Linked DNA regions of Styela clava. The protein of the gene in region 2 binds, or shares a complex with, the protein of the main gene of each other region. Links are inferred from orthologs where the notes say so. Each region holds a gene or a part of one and is shown on either strand. Other genes may lie near its edges.

Region 1 (10,519 bases), on a different chromosome or scaffold from region 2:
ACATCAATCTTCACATTAATCTATAGTCCTATTGGAAACATCTTCAATTTCAATGCCTTCTATCAAGCTGGTGATAGTTGCCTAAAACTTAGCAGTTAAAGTTGCGTGATATTCCAGCAATTTTTCATCAAAAAGCGATTTACAAGATCTAAAACTTATTTCATGACTTTTTTGAATTGAGTTTTATCGACTTGGTACCCTAAAAAACGTTATGTGAAAGCAGCCAATGTTAATTGAGAAAGCATTGCATTGTCTACCCAATTTATAACACCCTGGGTGGATGAGATGGTGGCCATGGGATTTGATCCTAAGCAACGCTGCAACCACCTGCACTTTTAAAATATGTCCATTTAAATAAGGGTTCTATTTTGTTGGGGTCGACCGCTTTCATAAAACCCTTGTTTCTGGACAGCGGCATCATTTTTTATATTCTGCCTAGTCATATGAGTCAGCAAAACTTTGCTGTGAATGCACTCATCGAGGCATATCCTAATTACCAGATGTCACTAATGTGGCATCATCACAGAGGTTCTTCTAATCTGTTGTTCTCTTCATGATTGTGTTTTTTGAAGTTAATTTTTTGAAAAATTGTTTCTTCGCTATATTTGCTGCTTGAATTCAGGTATCGCTGACTAGATGATGTTGCGACCCCTCCTCAATTGCTATGAATCAATGTTTTTCTGTTTCTGTTAGTTTTTGTTTTGTGCGTTAATTACTTTACTTTGATTCTTGCATGGTGAAAATAATTATCTAAATTTGAATCTGCCATACCTTTTACTAAATCCATTGAAACTCTCAGCAATAAAAGTACCCAGAACTGCAACACCATTAGTATGAGCACTGTTGATCCATCCCACAGGAGGAATAGTTACAAAATGGTGACTAAAATAAACGAATGTATCGACAATATCCCAGTATGCTAAGTAATACCATTTATCATCAGTACTGATTTTGCCTTGGACGAACCTAGAACAAAATTAAAAAGTATAAAAATGATGAATAGATAACATACATGGAAAGAATGCTTGTAAATTGACCATGGACTGCCATTTTTCATCAATTTGACTTGTCAGTCAACAACAATCACGTATTAGAATTAAATTTAAGTCGATTGCAAATCATTCTAAAGGGCTTTTATCAATGACCTCTGAAGATATATTGTAAATGAGAGAAAATTAACTAAACCTCATTGAGTAAAAATTCTTTAACTGTACAATTTCAGTGCCGGAGAATATATAGTTAATAATACCAGTGAAGAAAAATCTCACAGTTAGATAAATATATGATACCAGCCAATATTTTGTTGTCAAGGTAAAAAAGTGTCAGTTACAGAATTCTGTTGGCAAATGAAATAAAAGACCCAGCAAAATGCTGTTATAAATGGTAACTAACAACTGACTATTCATATTTCTCAGAAGTTTAATTTTAAATTAGAACAATCCATATTGCATACATATGTGATAAAATATGCGTTTCATCAACTTAACGAAACTTAACTTAAAATAGCCATCAATCTTTTTTGTGTCAATATTTTAATTATTTTATTTACTGGTAATAGTTATGGAAAACTGTAAGGTATGCGCGTCACAGTTCCATTACATTTGAACCCACGTACATTTGAACCCATGACAATTGCACCTGTATGCTATTGCACCTATGGAATTTTTTTTGTTTCACGGTTAGTTAAACCCATACTAACCCTAACCCATGGGTTTTAGCACCCGCATATAGATTGAACCCGTGGATATACGCATGGGTTCAAATGTACGGTCACCGCGCGTCACATTTGTTAGAATATACTTTTTTGATACATGAAGTTGAAACGATGATATATATAGGCCTACCTGTCATCCAAATATCCACCAGCCATGTCATGACATACAAGGGTTTTTGTTGATCCAGTTGGAATATTTTTCCCAAGATAAGGAACTGTAGCTACAGAGAATATCTGCCCACTATCTTCTGCATCGTCAGGTTTCCATGAAAGTAAATCTTCCAAATCATGCAAAGGAACTGAAACTGGTAAACCATCCTCCACACTTCTACCAGTAAATTGAGAAGGCTTTTCAAAATCAACATTCAGTAACTTCACTTCTTTAGATTCACTCATAATTTTCAATTATTTTTCTAGGAAAAACAAAATGAAAAAATTGTTTTACACTTGCGTGGCTGATATTATTTCTTTAACTAGCTGGTGACAGCTGAATACAGTAGAAGAAGAAACCTAGTAAATGCATGGATTTACTTTTGTTGACCAAGTGTACACAGCAATTCCAGAAGCTTGTAATAACATTATAAGAAGAAGTATTTGGCAAAAATCATAAAGTTTTTGTGGTGTATTCTTTAACAATAAAATACATATTTCTTCTGATCTGCCAGACAAGATCAGTGATGAAATTTGGAAATTGAACTACTTAAAACAACCCTTTTCAATGCATTCCATTTTTGCCTATTTCGACACACTTTATTCCTTTGATATGATGCAGCATTCAAGTACAGAAACCTTGTTTAAGAAGTATAAAATAAGACATGATTTCTAAACTAAAAATGCTGAGTAAAACAAAACAATCCCATCTTACTTTATCCTTGCCTAGATTCAAATGGCGACAAACAGTTGCCAGATCCAGTTCAACAATTGGTGGAACAGATCCTGAACTCAAGTCAAAGTTTTGTATTGTTGGTTCTGGGATATTTGATTTAGAGTGTACTAGAATAAATAAAAATGAATATACATAAATATAAAAATATTACAATATATCAAACAATTTATTAAAATTGATGAAAAAATTAAAATGGATTACTAAAACAAGTTTCCTATATTCGAATACTTTCTAAACGTTAAACCAAATCATGATTTAAATCATGCTGTATTGCTTGTTGCACTAGGCAATCATGATATGACAAACTAATCAATATAAGATAGTGTTTATCGAATGAAACATTCAAGCTATGACTAATTTGAAAAAAAAAACAGGTCGATCAGTCTTCTAATTTTACCTATAAAATGATAACTAATAATAAATAAGAGTATTAAAATACAATCAAACATTAAAACAATATATATCGGGATAATGTTAAGCTTCAATTTCTATAAACCACTAAAACCAGATTATTTTTCTAAAGCTATTCTTGGAAATATAAGTCAGAAAACAGGTAAAATAATATTTACTTTCAATTTCTTCTTCCAATGCTTGAGTATGAAGTATGTTGATGATGAAATATACAACAGGAATAGACACTGCACCGATGCAACCAAGGATTGGTAATACTATTGCCCAAGCTCTGAAAAAATCGGGTTGTAATAAATCAATAAGAAGAATGAATAAATGCATTGGGCAATATTGCATATTATTATGTTCATCTATCTCAAAATGACTCTATGCATCATCCGAGTACCATATAGAGTACTTTTTTTTATATTTTGATGGTCCTGATCAAAAATTCTTATACAAAAAGCATTTTTGTACTCGCATATATTTTTAAAATTTGTGTATAACTATGAGAGAAAAATAACATAATACGAATTATACAAGTATCATATCTTCCCAGGCCAAAGAAATCCTAAAAACAGCAGTATAAACTTATACATCTATTTTCAGCGCCTGGCAATTAGATGAACCAGAGTCTAACTATACTTAGCTTATACTACATAATGACAACTCAAAAAGAGGGATGGATACATGTTCCCAATTAACATTTGAACAACCTGCTCCGTACAAAAGGTTTGATTTTAGGACATACACATTCAAACTTTCTCCTCAGCTACAACTACAAAAAAACAGGTTGATCACAACATGAAATATAGGAATGAGTCACAAGCGAGATGTTACTAGGTTCAAAGTATTTTCATAAAGACTTGTTTTGACTTCCTACATTTTAAAAAGTTTAATGAGCAAATATATTTTAATTTTCATCCTTACTTGGTAGGAAGATAAGTTAGGCCAATACTGTGAAGGACTTCATCAGGAACATATGCCCATATCACAAACAGTGCTGAAAAATATACATCATTGTCATTATTATTTCTTTGTGGTATATTCACTTGATAACATGGACAAAAAACAACAACCAAGTAAACGATGGTCATTTGCTCATTAGAGATTCAAAAGCTAGCAGTTCATATCTTTGAAAAACCACACAGATATATGAAATGTCAAGGGGCCTTTGCTAAATTATTTCTTTAAATTAGCATATACAGATATATGAGACATTGTTAGAAAAAAGTCTTAAGCCAATTACTGTATTGGCGTAAGAGAGGAGAGCAAAAGGCAAATCCTATGGAAATGAAAGACATTTTCAAATTCATACTGAACAGACATCTGGAGAGAATTGCTTTTAATTGTCATAGTATTTCCCAAATACTTGTAAAGATGAGCGTTACACTTTAAGAAATGTGGAAAGCGTCCATTACATAAATCACATATATAAAATCTCATACTAGAAACAATACTACATTAAAACCATACACATGTGAATATTGTGGGAAGTCAGATTATTACAGTCAGATTATTACATTTGCCCAACCAAGAAAACAAACTGTGGCTATTAAGAATACACTATAAAATCCTCAGACATGAAAATTGTATTGTCATTTAGCAACCTTCAATATCGTAATACCGGTACATGATACAAAGAAGCACTAGGTTTTTTAAATTAGCAATGCTCATTCACTGATTCAAATATTTTTGTTTACATCTCTTTTGATCACCCTTTCCAGTTCAGCAGTTATGCAATCTCAGGACTGAAAAATAACTCTGACTCACTCACCGAATAAAATGTAGCTTGCTAGATAAAGGACAAATCCATACGCCGCTCTCTCCGGAGATGGACCTGGGCTTGGTTGAGGCATGAACTGATAAATAAAAGAGGCAAAAGCACCTAAAAACCGACGACGGCAGCAATATATGTAATTAATAATAAATACTACACAAAGTTGGACAACACTAAAAGGCTGAAAGAAGAAACGGATGAGGTGGAGGAAAAACGGAAGTTGAGGTGTTCCCAAACACTAAAAGGCTGAACACTAAAAGGAGGAAGTGGATGAAATTTCTTCCGACGGGTGGTGAGGTGTCTGAAGTCACTAAAAAGCAAAGCTGAACACTAAAAGGAAGAAGTGGATGAAATTTCTTCCGACGGATAATGAGGTGGTTGAAGTCACTAAAATGATGAACACTAAAAGGAAGAAGTGGATGAAATTTCTTCCGACGAATAATGAAGCGGTTGAAGTCACTAAAATGATGAACACTGAAAGGAAGAAATGGTTGAAATTTCTTCCGACGAATAATGAGGTGGTTGAAGTCACTAAAAAGCTGAACACTAAAAGGAAGAAGTGGATGAAATTTTTTCCGACGAATGATGAGATGGTTGAAGTCACTAAAAACATGAACACTAAAAGGAAGAAGTGGATGAAATTTCTTTCGACGAATAATGAGGTGGTTGAAGTCACTAAAAACATGAACACTGAAAGGAAGAATATAAGTATAAGTTTATTTCGACTCCATAATCAGCATAACAATACATTTGACAGATAAAAACAAATAAATAAAAACTGATTATGAAATCAGGGGAGCAAACAAAACCTTAGATAAGGTTTATAACGTACAAAATATAAGATGGAAGGTTTTGCCAAGAGGAAGTGGTACGTGTTTAATCACCTAAAATTATTAAGTTATTTCACACACGCTCACATGCACCCACCAGCCACACACACACACAACCAGTGAGAAGTTATTTAAGTAAGAATAAAACGCGATAAATTTAGGGTATACTATACAGTAAACAAAAAATAAAAAATAAATAAATACTAGAAAAGAAAAAAAAAATTATCTGCCACACCATATTGATATTTTTGTAATGGTTGCCAGAAGAAGTGGATGAAATTTCTTTCGACGAATAATGAGGTGGCGGAGGTCACTGAAAAGCTGAACACTAACAGGAAGAAGTGGATGAAATTTCTTCCGACGGATAATGAGGTGGTTGAAGTCACTAAAATGATGAAAACTAAAAGGAAGAAGTGGATGAAATTTCTCCCGACGAATAATGAAGCGGTTGAAGTCACTAAAAAGATGAATACTGAAAGGAAGAGGTGGTTGAAATTTCCTCCGACGAATAATGAGGTGGTTGAAGTTACTAAAAAGCTGAACACTAAAAGGAAGAAATGGTTGAAATTTCTTCCGACGAATAATGAGGTGGTTGAAGTCACTAAAAAGCTGAACACTAAAAGGAAGAAGTGGATGACATTTCTTCCGACCAACGACTCTTCCGACGAATAATGAGGTGGTTGAAGTCACTAACAAGATGAACACTAAAAAGAAGAAGTGGATGAAATTTCTTCCGAAGAATAATGAGATGGTTGAAGTCACTAAAAACATGAACACTAAAAGGAAGAAGTGGATGAAATTTCTTTCGACGAATAATGAGGTGGCGAAGGTCACTGAAAAGCTGAACACTAACAGGAAGAAGTGGATGGAATTTCTTTCGACAGGTGGTGAGGTGGCTGAGGTCACTAAAAAGCTAAACACTAAACGGAAGAAGTAGGCTACGGTAGATGATATTTTGTCCTATCGATTTTGAGGCGGTTGAAGTCACTAAAATACCGAACATTAGTAGAGTTAAATAGCCAAAACATATCCCGACGGAAGTGAGATTGGATGAAGACCCTGAAAGCGGACTGATGAGTAGGCATGCCACTTTTAGATTTATGAATTGAATCGATTCAAATCGCAATTCATTTCGAATCCGATTTACGCGATTCGAAAGAAAGAGAGCCGTTTAGCGAAGAAGAACAAACACTCCAAATAACACCAATTGCCAGACGGGAATGTAAATGAATTTTTCGTTATTTACTTCTATTGATCTGCCTTCGTTCATTTTCAAGTTCAGCGCAACACACCCTGATCATCACTCGAGATGCTGACGTGCTGTGTGGGTAATTAATTTCCTTCAATCTCTCAGTTGAGTTTTCCACTGAATGACCTAAGTTTCTATCACACGCAAATTTAAATGGATCGTATACCCGAAATTTCGTTGCGATTTTGTTAATAATTTGCAACAGCACACCTTCTCTGCGACTAAGTTATGGTACGCCTTGACATGAATTGATAAACGATCAGATACCGACTTCTAGAAAACATTTAATTTTGATTGAAATTTAATTTAAACTCCGTTGAGAGTGAAATATTTCGCGTATATATTTGAAGAGAACTATTACTGAACAAGTTCATTCGCCGGGCATGTAATTGACGATCATGTTTTTTTATCCTGACATTTATATTTATGCTATTTTATTCCCATTTGTTGTACCTCCATTTGAGTAGCGGTAAACGAAATGAGGGAACACGTGGTAGAACAGTTTTCGGTTGGAGGTTTACGGTTGGAGGTTTATTTTAAATGGTTTAATTACTTTTTTGTGTTCGAGCAAATTCCTGAAAGCATTTCTTATTTATAGTAATCCCGATGCAATTAAACTGTCTTTGTCTTATTACACTATGCTGCTAGCATGAATATATGCTCGGTATCTCCTTGTTTAGCAAGCTCTATCGCAATAATGAGCCCATATATCACAGAGATGACAGAGATCTGTGTGTACAAAGTTTTCCTTTATGTATAACCCAGAGTCACAAATTATTGTACTAATATTTTAGAGATGAAAAATCTGTAATGAGTCCAGCCTTAATTTAATATAACAATAAGTGAAATACCACAGTCACATATTCTGGGGTGGGACTGCGGGAACCAATGCTGTTACTGTTGCAGCACTGTTTAAGATGGTACAATAGAATTGTTTCCTGCGCTTATTTTCACAATTGAGTTGCATCAAATTGCTTCAGTCCTAAGGGGATGGTTGGTCAATACCGAATAGTTCACTATTTCGAATACATTCGAAAATAAAATAAAGTAATTGAGGCTTATCTATAGTAGCCTATATAAAGGAATTTGCATACAATAAACAATGGAATAACTGTCATCAACAGCACGTTGTCTACCATGCATTTCATGTTTGCAGATTACTGCTATATATTTTCATATACCATGAGTTACGTTATCAGAATTAAATTAATACGGCAAGCATTTAAAATAGTGCTATCGGTCATGGATTTGAACATTTTGCGCAACACAAAATCATCCTAGTAAAAGTTTGAATACCAACTATTATCCAAATTATTTGCCAAAAAGCGGGATAAAGTATAAATTATATTTCTGATTGGCGACAATTTTTTCGTGAGTACGTAAACACGAATGAAAAATTAATTATATTCGGGCACTTCAATGTCCGCATATATATCTTTTATTATTTTATAAATACGAAAATATGAATCAAGAATTAATTATAATCGGGCAGTTTACCACACATTTTTAAGTCCATGGATCGCCGTTGTATTTTGTATATACGAAAATAGGAATAAAAAAATAAATAACAATCGCGCAGTTGACCACACATCTATGTACATAGATTGCCGTGGTATTGTGCCCGAATATAATTAATTTTTGATTCCGTATTTCATTCCTTAAACTTAATATCTATTTTTAAAATTTTGCAAGCAGTTCACGCACGAAGACTTGAAATAATGATGTATTAGTCAAATTGAAGTCCTGTTAGACCACTGGTTCTTAACCAATGTGCCATGGCCAACTGGTAAGCCTCAGAGCCATTTTGAGGTGGGCCACAAACATATTATGAATTACAAGGTTTGTTGACTGGAAAAATTGATTTGATAACAAAATCAGCTTCACGCGTCTTGAAAAACAAGATATCTATTTGCAAAATATGCCTCGCCGTAACCCACCCATTGTGGCGCAACAAATTCATTATACGGCAGTAACAGCTAGAAATGAGTATATATATATAGCAATTTGCTTGCACATTACATCAAAATTAAAAACAATATAACGAGAATGTCATGGCCTTCAATATTCGCCAGGCTCGAACTGAGAATACCATATAAAAAATTAACATAAAACGAATCCACGAGGACATTGTCTCATAAATATTAAACTAATATATTAAATTTTCTTCACTATCCGTCGGAGGAAATTTCATCCACTTCTTCCTTTTAGTGTTCAGCTTTTTAGTGACTTCAGCCACCTCGGAAGAAATTTCTTCCACTTCTTCGTTTTAGTGTTCAGCCTTTTAGTGTTTTTCAATTTTTCACCTTTGGGAACACTTCAACTTCCGTTTTTCCGCCACTTCGTCCGTTTCTTTCTTCAGCCTTTTAGTGTTGTCCCACAAAGTTTGCTGTAAAATCCCACTCAGCAAAATATTAGTGTGCCTATCGTAAAAATTAATTAGGCCGTGACAAGTCACGCTATGCGACAGGGGATCAAATCTCATCAATATTTCCTTTGGGAACACTGCGGAAACGTACCGTATTTTTGCTTACACGTAGTCGGTTGGTTAGTTGCTGTTCACATTGGCGATATGCTATAGTGGTGGTAGCATAAAAGTCATATTGGGGATGGCAGAATAGGGATGGCGAAATACGGTCGAAAGGTGGCAGATTAGGGATGGCGAAATAGGGACGAAAAGTCAAATTGGGGATGGCAAAATGCGGTCGAAGCGTGGCAGATTAGGGATGGCGAAATGCGGTCGAATGGTGGCAGATTAGGGATGGCAAAATGCGGTCGAAGCGTGGTGGCAGATTAGGGATGGCAAAATGCGGTCGAAGCGTAGTGGCAGATTAGGGATGGCAAAATGCGGTCGAATTGTGGAGCAGACTAGGGATGGCGACGTTTGAGAAAGTGAAGGGCATGGTGTCAGTGTTACCGTACCGTACATCGGTACCGTACGAACATTTTAAGGTTCTTAAGTTTAGCATGTAGCCTGAATGTACCTGCATATGCCAGGATACGGTAATACAGTAATAGGTACGGTATGTACCGTAGTGAGTACGGTACCGGTACCGGTATGTGGCCCATTACCGGTACATCATTAATCTGTTAATGCTAATCCAGTCCTTGGCGGCATGGGCAGCGTAGAGAATGGCAGTAGACAGAAAATAAGAGATTTAACATTCTTCTGGTTCAAATTAGGCTACTCTGGCAATTGTTTTGGTGGTAATTACAAGGACAGACCGGTACCGTACCAAGACTTGGACTTTTAATTAATATGGTAACGGTAGACTACCGGTACGGTACCGTATCATTGGACTACGGTACCGGTATGCCTTTGCGGTGGAATTATTGTGTGGCAAGATGTAGGCACGAACACGGTATGTCAAATTGGTACTGGTAACATTGCAGCATTGTGTGGAGCAAGCGATAAACTAAAAAGTGAAACTGCTAAAGCCATTTGACTGTTTGAGTGAACTCCGCAGACCTAAGCAAAAAGTTAATATGCATTCTAACCATTTGATATATTTAATTGCTGAATTGTCTCAAATTAGCCGTGGTGTGGCTCATCATGCTAAGCCTGCGAGCGGAATAAGCTTGGCATCGCACCTCTTATTACTTACACTATGTCAGTCTGTGTAGGTTCGCAGGGTAAATGTGGAGATTGTTAGGAATACGCTCGTCACCCCAT
Region 2 (9,433 bases):
CTGTATTAGATCATTTCTCAATTTTCTTAAGAACAGTGGTTCCTTGTTAGGACTTAAGCGCCGTGCTCAGAGTAGATATGAATGATATATCACACAAAAATACATACTTTGATTTTATGTTCTTCAGTAGAACAATCAATTCCTTTCAAAAGAGCATTTTTCACTGCATCTACTCCTTCATATGTATAGCAAGATACTTCAACATCTGTTAGAAAAAAAAAAATTCAAAGATTGTTCAGTGACCAATACGGAGAGGGAATTGAGATAAAACTTGGAATATGTAACTGCCAGGAAGGTCATCAATAACCAGATATCAAAATATACCTGATCGAATTTTCATTGCTTGCGGAGTCAACCTTCTCCTAATATTTTTCATCAAAACTGATTTCTCTTCTTCTGATAATTGGAGTTCATCAAGAACTTGTGGTTCACTATAAAATTGATGGTATTTTTTATTTTTTTTGGAAAGTCTTCAACAAAAGCAGATTGAGAGGTGTAAAAGGAACAGATGACATATTACAACAGTCTATATGTAGATTTATTTTTGCATAATATATGACAATATACTTGAGACTTAAATGCCAAGGAATATCGATATCAAAGAATTTTGTTAAAACTAATGAGATGGCTGCTTTTTTTTATCAAATCTATTGCAAATTTGCGAAATCATTACTTAAGTCTATTTTTTCAGAAAAAAAATTGTTTTGTTTCATCTTTTTGTGACAAAAAGTAGAATATCAAACCATTCTAATATGGACAATCGTGGTGGCCTTGAAGAGGGAGTATTGGAAATTTCATGAGCAAGGTACAAGCTCTATAAGATTCAGATTGATAATCCGAACTTTTCGTGGCACAAATGCAAAATTTCACAGAAATCAATTACACATAGAGAGGTACATAGGTACAATTATGCAAAAAGATTGGCATTTACTCTATAGCTCTCTTAAATAGATCATATGAAGCAGGATATTTTTCAGTTGGTCTCTTATATTTTGTATCCAACGCCCAGGCTGTTCGGTCAAATAAATCTTCAAAATCTTCATCTGTCTGAAAACCTAGAAGTTCAGCAGTATGACGAAGAATGCTGTAAACCTGTATTAAAAAATTTTTATTTTTTTGCTTTCATTACATGTTTCAAAATTTACTAAAAAAGTTTGATAAGTTGAGCACTAGCTCTGGTCAAAATGTTGTTTCACATATAGTTTCAACTTACAAGCATATGAAATAAAGTTGATGCCTTATTTCCCAAAAGACATCGATAAAATTCAGAAATCCACCAGATCATGGAATATATAATGATGATTCAAAATATATAATGAAGACCGCAATATGAATACTTTCTTATACCTAGCATGACCAAACATAAATTCTAAACTAGATGAAAATACTAGACATCTAGTATATCAACAAATATCGCTGTATACCTCTTAATTAACATGCCGTAAGAGTAGTAAGTAAATCCTAGTGAGCGTTAAATTATTGAATAACAATATTCCTGCTACAGAATTAACACTGAAACACTACTTACACATTTTGCTTTTGAATACTTATTTTCACATTTTTTTGCTTCTTCTTGTGAAACTCTTCTTTTTGATAAATCAATGTAACCTGAAAAAGTAGCAAATTATTATAAAATAATCACAATATATCAAAAGATAAAAAGGCAACAATAGCATTGCAATAATGCTAATCCAGCAATTTTTGTTAAATACTATGACAAATCGTGATCTTCAAAAATATAACTTTTCTATCTATAAGACACAAAAGTTGATAATCAAAATGTCAGTACTATAAGACGATAAACAACAAAAAGAACACATTTTCGCCTATTTCGTTTTGAATCGGATATTGAAATTTGCAAATACATAAATTTCATTGAATCTTATTTATTAACAATCGCACGAAACTCCCTACCTTTTTCTTTATCTACTCTTATAACAACGACACATTCATCACGACCGACACGAATCAACTTATTGATAGATCGAATACGACGTCTCGACAATTCACTAAGCAATATCATTCCTTCAATGTTATTGTATTCAAGCAATTTAACGTAAGCTCCCATCTCTGCGATGGATCGAACATTCACCATGACAACATCTTCAACCTCCGGAAACTTATCCTTATAATATCGACACGAGATCGGCATTTTGAGTTAATTTGCTAACAACTATATAAAAATATACAATTCAAATAAAAACAATTAAAAACATAAAACTTGAATAAAATTCTCTTATATAGATTAACCAATAGTCAAGCATATGATACACTTTTTCATATTTATCCCAGGGACTCAAATCATATGGCAAACTGTGGCCTTTTGTCTGTTCAACAGACTAGAGCTAAGTCAGTGGTTATGTGACGCAACCTGGAAAAAACAACAAATATGTCTACAGTAATTCTTTTGCATATAGACATACAAATGGAATCTATGAACCGAACAATATAAACATATCTTCACATTTGAAACAATTCTTAATTAAAGAGACGTGACACTTCTTTTCGAACAATCGATACATAAACAGTTTGTACAATCAAAAACTATACATCGATAAAATTTTCTGAATGAAACTTTTTCAACCAAATTCATTTCAATAAATATTTAAAAAACAAAAATTATAATATCACAGAATAAGAAGCTGACAAACTATTCTTTTTTGAATGATTTCTTTTCCGTAAATATCCGAGGACTATCCGGGTCAATTACTGCTTCATCCCAAGGTCCATAAATATTATTTTTATGAATTTGAAGAGACATCAACAATAGAGGACAGATGAAATTAACAAAAACAATTAGAAGTAGAAATAAGAGACTTATATACAAATGAATAAAAAGTAGTAACAAAAACGTTGCTATACTCAATAAAACAGTAAAGGGATCCATAAACCACGGAGTTTCACGCCTTAATGTTCTTTGTAACATGGGCCAAAATCCAAAAAGAAATAACGCTAAAATAACAATAGCGAATACATGCTCCGAAGAATCCAATCGAGACGCAAGACATACTGACGAAAACAATGACATATTTAACGATACAGCTCTAGAAATTGGCGCAGCATCAGACCCATAGTCATGAAACAGTAAATGTCCTAAAATCATTAGAACACTCATTGCATATATCGTATCAGTACTAATAGTGTGCGTCAACGTTTTTAATATCGGAGATAAAAAATCAGTTAAACACAATACAACAACTGCTGTTTTAGCATTACTAAATAACGCTTTCCATCTCTCACCCTGGCTCGTTGTTAAATATAAATACACGCAGAAGCCTATTACTGAAACAGGCATCAGCCATTTTAACATAGTATATGGAGTATATAGGCCTTCATCGAGTAACCACCAGCTAACGATTAAACAGCTGACTGTACAAAGTTGTTGAGTAATGACTTCAATTTGACGAACGAGATCCCAATATTCATATTTTCTGATGTAGATGTTCTTTCGCATTTCCGTGAGGAAAGACTCATCCACATAATTGTCTGGAACATTTTGAACTTCGTACAATACTTTTCTCCATTTTTTGCGATTAGTTGTCATTCTTGAACACGCTTATATCAACAGCCAAAATCAATATTACTCTATGAATAGGTTAAAACTGAAATTTATAATAACAATGGCTCAATACCGGTACTGTAATAATAAGCACATACAAGACAATCTATGAACAAATTTATCTGAGGAACCTGTTCTTTTATCTGTTTATAGCCCAGTGGCGGGCCATTACAAACAAAATATCGTATCGTACGGTCTGACGGTACCGGTACCAGTAGGTATGGATTAGTTAGCCGGTACGGTAGGTACCGGTATTTGTTCTACAGTTTCAGATACCGGTACCGTACATGGTGGACGATAAGATAAGTTTATTTCAACTCCATACTCAGCATAAACGGCGATAAAACGGTTGATTAAAACAAATAGAACTCGTTTAGTCATACAGCGGCACAGACTAACCACAAAGTTGAGCGAATTTGCTCTATGATGGTTCACCATGATGGGCGATGGCGCAAACACCAACACGAAACACCAAAAACTCTACAGTCCACACATGTTAGGGGTGAATGATGCTCGAGATCCGGATCCGGCGATCGCTTCTTATTTACACCGTAAGCGACACCCAAATCTTTTGACAAAAAAATCCGTCAACTTTTTTGGGTCTGGCGGTTACCGCAAAGAAACACAATTGTCATCGCATTACAAACCCAATCGTCATAATTATGCGCGAGGGGATTGCCAGACTTCTCACCCTCGCAAGTGGTTAAGGCTTCGCGCCATTCAAATACGCTCAAATCAATTACCTGATGAACTCTTCCTATTCCCGATTTGGGTTATGTTAACGCTGACTCGTCAAATTTCTTCTTCCTCTGGATTTCATCCTTTTTTTCTGTTTGGCACCCCATCACTGGAAAGGATAGGATTTACATATTTATCCTGGGGAAGAGGAGAGCCGATAAGACGGCTCAATCATATGGCGGACCACGGCCTCTCGTCCGGTTACCAATCCATGTCGAGTATGGAACTTGTTAGCTAGTTTATTTTTGGAAGCATAGACTTAAATGCTCTTTTGCAAATTTGTGTACCTACGACAAAAAAATGATAATTAGTAGTAAACAATTTATTTGACCATTTACTGAATATTTGCGCCTACAGATTATAGAATAAACTAAAAATGTCGTTTCGTGGTGCAGGGGAGTGCAATAAACCAGTCGTATCATCGAGCAGCAACACCTTTAAAAAAGTCTAATCTAAGTTGGGAAATAAAAATGGATTTTCATGCGACCTGACATTTCCACTCGTTGTACTATAAGAAAACAACTCCGAGCACGACATGCTGGTAACCATACTGCGGCGAGATGCTGCGTTCCCCTCTTGCTGTCGAAATGCCGTCTGAAATTTGAGTGTCCCCAAGAAGTTGTATGATGAGAACGTTTGAGCAAAGATCGAGAGATGTGCTCAAATAAATTGTTAATCGACATATCACATGTAAAAATTGGATTTTGAATTCGACAGCGATAATGAAGTGTTATTTGTGATCAGCTATTTACGGCAGTACGGTTACATTTTGAAACCTGTAGATCTCAATCAAATATTTTCCGTGTAGTTCGCGCAACTGTTGGTTGCTTGCAGTATTCCACTAACTACGCCTATGTATCTAGATCTTGCAAGTACTGTACGGCTATGTCTGTTTACCTATATTCAGGGTTGGACTAAACATTGATCAAAATAAGGTCACCACGAGAAAGGATGCACCACAGAAGTTTTCACGAACTGGCTATCTCAGTGTTTAATGTAATTCGAGTTGGTAAGACGATTCAGACCTCAATATTGTCTCGGTTTAATAACTTGATTATTTTCTCTTTTTCAAGTACCAGCTTACACCTCTCTATAAATGTTTGTAGGCAAGAGAATTATTTTCAAAAAATACCATGTAGATTAATCATAACTTAGCTTTAATTAGTACCGTGGTAGTGAATACTGAAACATATTCAGAAAACATGGAACACTAGTTTTCATTATTATCATTTTATATAAATAGGGCCCAAAGTATTAAGTGCCTGGGGCTCCTAAGCGGCATGATCCGGCCCTGCTTATATTAACCAGTTGTTTTGGTTTCACTCGCTTCAATAAGACCAGTCACCTCCTGCACGTGTTAACAGCAGCATCGAATATTTAGCGAAATGGTCCAAAGTCGCACTTTGTGTTCAATATCAGTACTCTGATAACAAAAAATTCCTGTTGAATCTAAATTAGATATTGGAACTTTGGACGTCGCTGCACAAAATTCGGGAACGGTCCCACGCGGCGCCCCTTCATCGGGAAAACCTTGCGTTTATTTTGTTATCGTAGTTTTGTTGTGATTATATCACTAGTAGACCGCGAGCCGAGGCCCTGAAAAACGCCTAGAAAGTGAGTTTCGTAGCGCACATCAGGTAACTACCTGAAAATGATTTTAAAATGTTCCCTAAAAATTTAGTAACAAATATTGCCTTGTTCCCACTTCCAAAAGTTGCACGTTTTACGGAAAAGACGCTTTTACTACAAGAAATATGCGCTACGATCTGTCCTATATTCTCTACATTTTCGGCACTGAACAATGACTTCTGCATGACGTAACAATTGAATTAAACCAGCTGTTAGCGAGCGGATGAATATTAGTTATTTCTGCTCGACCTTGCGCTGAGTTGGGCAGGCTTTCCATAGCCCTGTTTAGTTATTATTAGTTAAGTTATGCTAAGACGTTGTTGAAAAATGTATAAGTAAATTATTAAACACTTGTAGATCCTTACCACGGATATGGGCCGCGAGACGAAACCATGAAAACGCCCAGAAAATGAGTTTCGTAGCGCACATCTGGTAACTAAATAAATTCTTCAGTTTTGTGTGAAAACGAACATAATGAACGCATTACAGCTTGTTCCACAATCCTGGTGCGAAATTGAATATAAGAGGTTCCCGGAAATTCAATAACCATAAGTTTACAACGCATACATAAGAACTATACAATTCGAGAGCCCTACAGCACACTAACACAAATGTATTCCTGTAATGTTTTGCCTGACCAAAATCGGACTTCCTCAGTCAATCATAATTTATTAGGTAGATTACGAAAAATATGGCATACATGTAACCAACAACAAAAAATACTTTAATTGTGTGACAGGAGTCGGGAGTGACCTCGAAAGCAGCGACACCAACAACGCTGATTCACATTTGAGAATAAATTTTATGTAATAACCACAAGCAGTTTACAACAAGAACAGCATAAAAAGCTACATCCATTTTATAGAAGCTATCAAGTATCAAACGTATTTATTTTTAAGCAATGAAGTCACAAATTAACATCGTGAGCACGAAAACACAAATAAATCAGTTATTTCTCACTTAGAAATTTACCGCAAAAGTCAAGAAAATTAAATGAATGTACAATATGTACATAACATAGTGAACAGAAATATTACAATTTACAATTAATCTTTTTTTAGTTTATGTGGTTATGTATTTGAACAAAGGCAATAATATTTCTAGAAACAGGACTACGACACTAACAAATGTCCGAAAAAAAAAACAAATGTATGATACTTATTAAATCAACTGTAATATCTAATTCACTTTCTTCTGAATTGTTTTCGAAATCCACTATCTCAAAAATCGACTTTTCCTCTATAGGTGTACTGTGATTTCTGCAGTCAATACAAAAACAAAAATCTGTGCAATTTAAGTTGATTTTGGCACACTTTCATAAATTATTTTGACTATTTTTCTTTGCAGTTTGCCAACTCAAGAACTGATTTGAGGGCCACATGCTTCTTCAGTGAATCATTGTTGGGTGGAGAGTATAATCCTTATGTTTGACAGTGTTAAATAGACGTGCCCTGGTATCATTTACATTCTTCATATCCTCTTCAAATTCCTCAGCTTTATTTATTAATACCTCGTTAACCTCAAAAGATCTTCATAGTCGAGGGAAAAAAATGAATTGAAAATCTCAATGAAGTCTCCAACATGAATTTGATGGGCAATTCCAATTGCAGAAAAGTGCTAAAGTATTTCAATATGAATAGCCCATCTAAGCTGTTTGCAACTATTATGATTCTCATATACCTTTAAGCTTCAAGACTTCTTGTTTAATCCATTTTATAGCACTGATAGCAGCAGGGATCAGAGCCTGCGTTAGGTCGGATTGGTGGAACATTGCCGTTTTCTTTTGTAGTACAGTATCTAAAATAAGGAAGAAAATAATATTTGGAGCAGCATGATTTTAAAAATACCCCTAAATACTAACTAATACCTTGAATACATAATGCATTTTATCTGATGTACTAAATGAGCGTATATATGCTCATTGCATGTTCTACAGTCCAGCAGTGTTTGCATACCATTACTAGACTATATCTACACTAGATTTTGATATATCACAGTCTGAAATGTCCTTTGACAGTATGAGTATGGACTATAGACTACGGTATATTTTGAAACATCAACTGTTTGTCTACAACTTCATTTCTCACCTCTCAATCATTTCCAATGCTACCTTTCTTTCCACTCCAGCATAACTTATCATTGCTTCCCAGGTTCTTGTCGACTCAATGAATTTAGATTTAGACCAACCGACATTAGTAAAATTGATTAATTTCTTCTCTTTCACACAACCGTGCATTACAGAAACAGCCATTCATTTCTATTTCCAAATATGCTGTGGCCTATATAGTAATATAAGTCTGCTGAATAGTCAAGAAGAGTCATTAAATTAATCATAAACATTTCATGCAAGCCAGAAAATATCGTTGTTTGTGACATATTATTCTAGGTCTAGCCTTCCTTGGAGTTACCGCACCGTACCTATTTAACAACGTCTTATGAGCTAGTGCTCAACTAAAATTGCTATTTATGGCAAGGATATACAAGTGTTTAATATCTTACCTATACTTTTCTTTTTTTTTTTTTTTTTAAAGGTCCACGTTGTGGATTCATAACAGTTTTGTAAAAATAAATAAATGATGAAAAAATAATAATCATAGAACATAGTTACATATAATAAACAAATATATTTGTAAACATCATCCAGTATTATCCAGCAATTCATCTTACCAGAATAACTGGACTAATATTACCGGTAACTGAAAAAAACTATGGAAAGGCTACTCAACGCAAAAGCGAGCAGTTGAGTACATCTGATATTCATCCGACCACTGGGGATCCACCTACAGCTGACTAACTTGACTGTTACGTCGTGCATAAGTCTGCGTTCATTGGCCCATGATACCGGAAAAGCAGAGAAAATAGGACAGATGGTAACACATATTTATTGTAGTAAAAGCGTCTTTTCTGTAAAACGTGCAACTTTTGGAAGTGGGAACAAGGCAATATTTGTTACTAAATTTCTAAGGAACATTTTAAAATCATTTTCAGGTAGTTACCTGATGTGCGCTACGAAACTGAAAGATAAATGGCCTCGGCTCGCGGCCTATAGCTGATAAAAATAAACTTGACTATGATAAACAGGATAAACCATATGTCCCTCTCTTTATTCGCAGATCCTCCCCCCTCCTTTTTTTAAATGTAAAAATAAATAAAAGCATCTCTCTTAATAATACATAGCAATTTTTAGATCCTCAAGCTTCATGAAAACACGTGTTTTCCGGATTTTGTCCGGACTCGCTGGCTGTTTCGATCTAACTTGGCAAATAGAAATTTTAGAATCACCCCCCCCCCCCCCTTTTGAAAATTTCTGGATACGCCTCTGCTCTTCCCCTTCTCTCTCATAAATTGTTTTAGGTAATATTCCGTATTTTTTGTGAATTGGGTTCCCGAGTTATACTTTCACCCAAGTCCGCTAAGTGAGTATTGTGACAACATATGTACGTTTCAACGAGTTTATTCATTTATGCAACATTTTTCAAATATAAAATTAGACAGTTTTCCATCGTT

The links.
Region 1: phosphatidylinositol N-acetylglucosaminyltransferase subunit C-like (region 2) and phosphatidylinositol N-acetylglucosaminyltransferase subunit P-like share a complex: the UniProt entries of both Homo sapiens proteins name them as parts of the glycosylphosphatidylinositol-N-acetylglucosaminyltransferase (GPI-GnT) complex. The link is inferred for Styela clava from reciprocal best matches to the Homo sapiens genes PIGC and PIGP.

The regions. Positions count from the first base shown.
Region 1 is NC_135253.1:15,185,113-15,195,631, forward strand, and holds phosphatidylinositol N-acetylglucosaminyltransferase subunit P-like, read right to left. Parts: upstream 4,850-10,519; coding exon 4,768-4,849; intron 3,994-4,767; coding exon 3,921-3,993; intron 3,283-3,920; coding exon 3,170-3,282; intron 2,708-3,169; coding exon 2,580-2,707; intron 2,202-2,579; coding exon 2,184-2,201; downstream 1-2,183. Other genes in the region: cytosolic endo-beta-N-acetylglucosaminidase-like, read right to left, coding at 772-966, 1,845-2,110. UniProt on the Homo sapiens protein: Part of the glycosylphosphatidylinositol-N-acetylglucosaminyltransferase (GPI-GnT) complex that catalyzes the transfer of N-acetylglucosamine from UDP-N-acetylglucosamine to phosphatidylinositol and participates in the first step of GPI biosynthesis.
Region 2 is NC_135250.1:6,446,355-6,455,787, reverse strand, and holds phosphatidylinositol N-acetylglucosaminyltransferase subunit C-like, read right to left. Parts: upstream 3,645-9,433; 5' UTR 3,545-3,644; coding exon 2,651-3,544; 3' UTR 2,174-2,650; downstream 1-2,173. Other genes in the region: eukaryotic translation initiation factor 2 subunit 1-like, read right to left, coding at 108-205, 325-431, 932-1,092, 1,529-1,608, 1,915-2,152. UniProt on the Homo sapiens protein: Part of the glycosylphosphatidylinositol-N-acetylglucosaminyltransferase (GPI-GnT) complex that catalyzes the transfer of N-acetylglucosamine from UDP-N-acetylglucosamine to phosphatidylinositol and participates in the first step of GPI biosynthesis.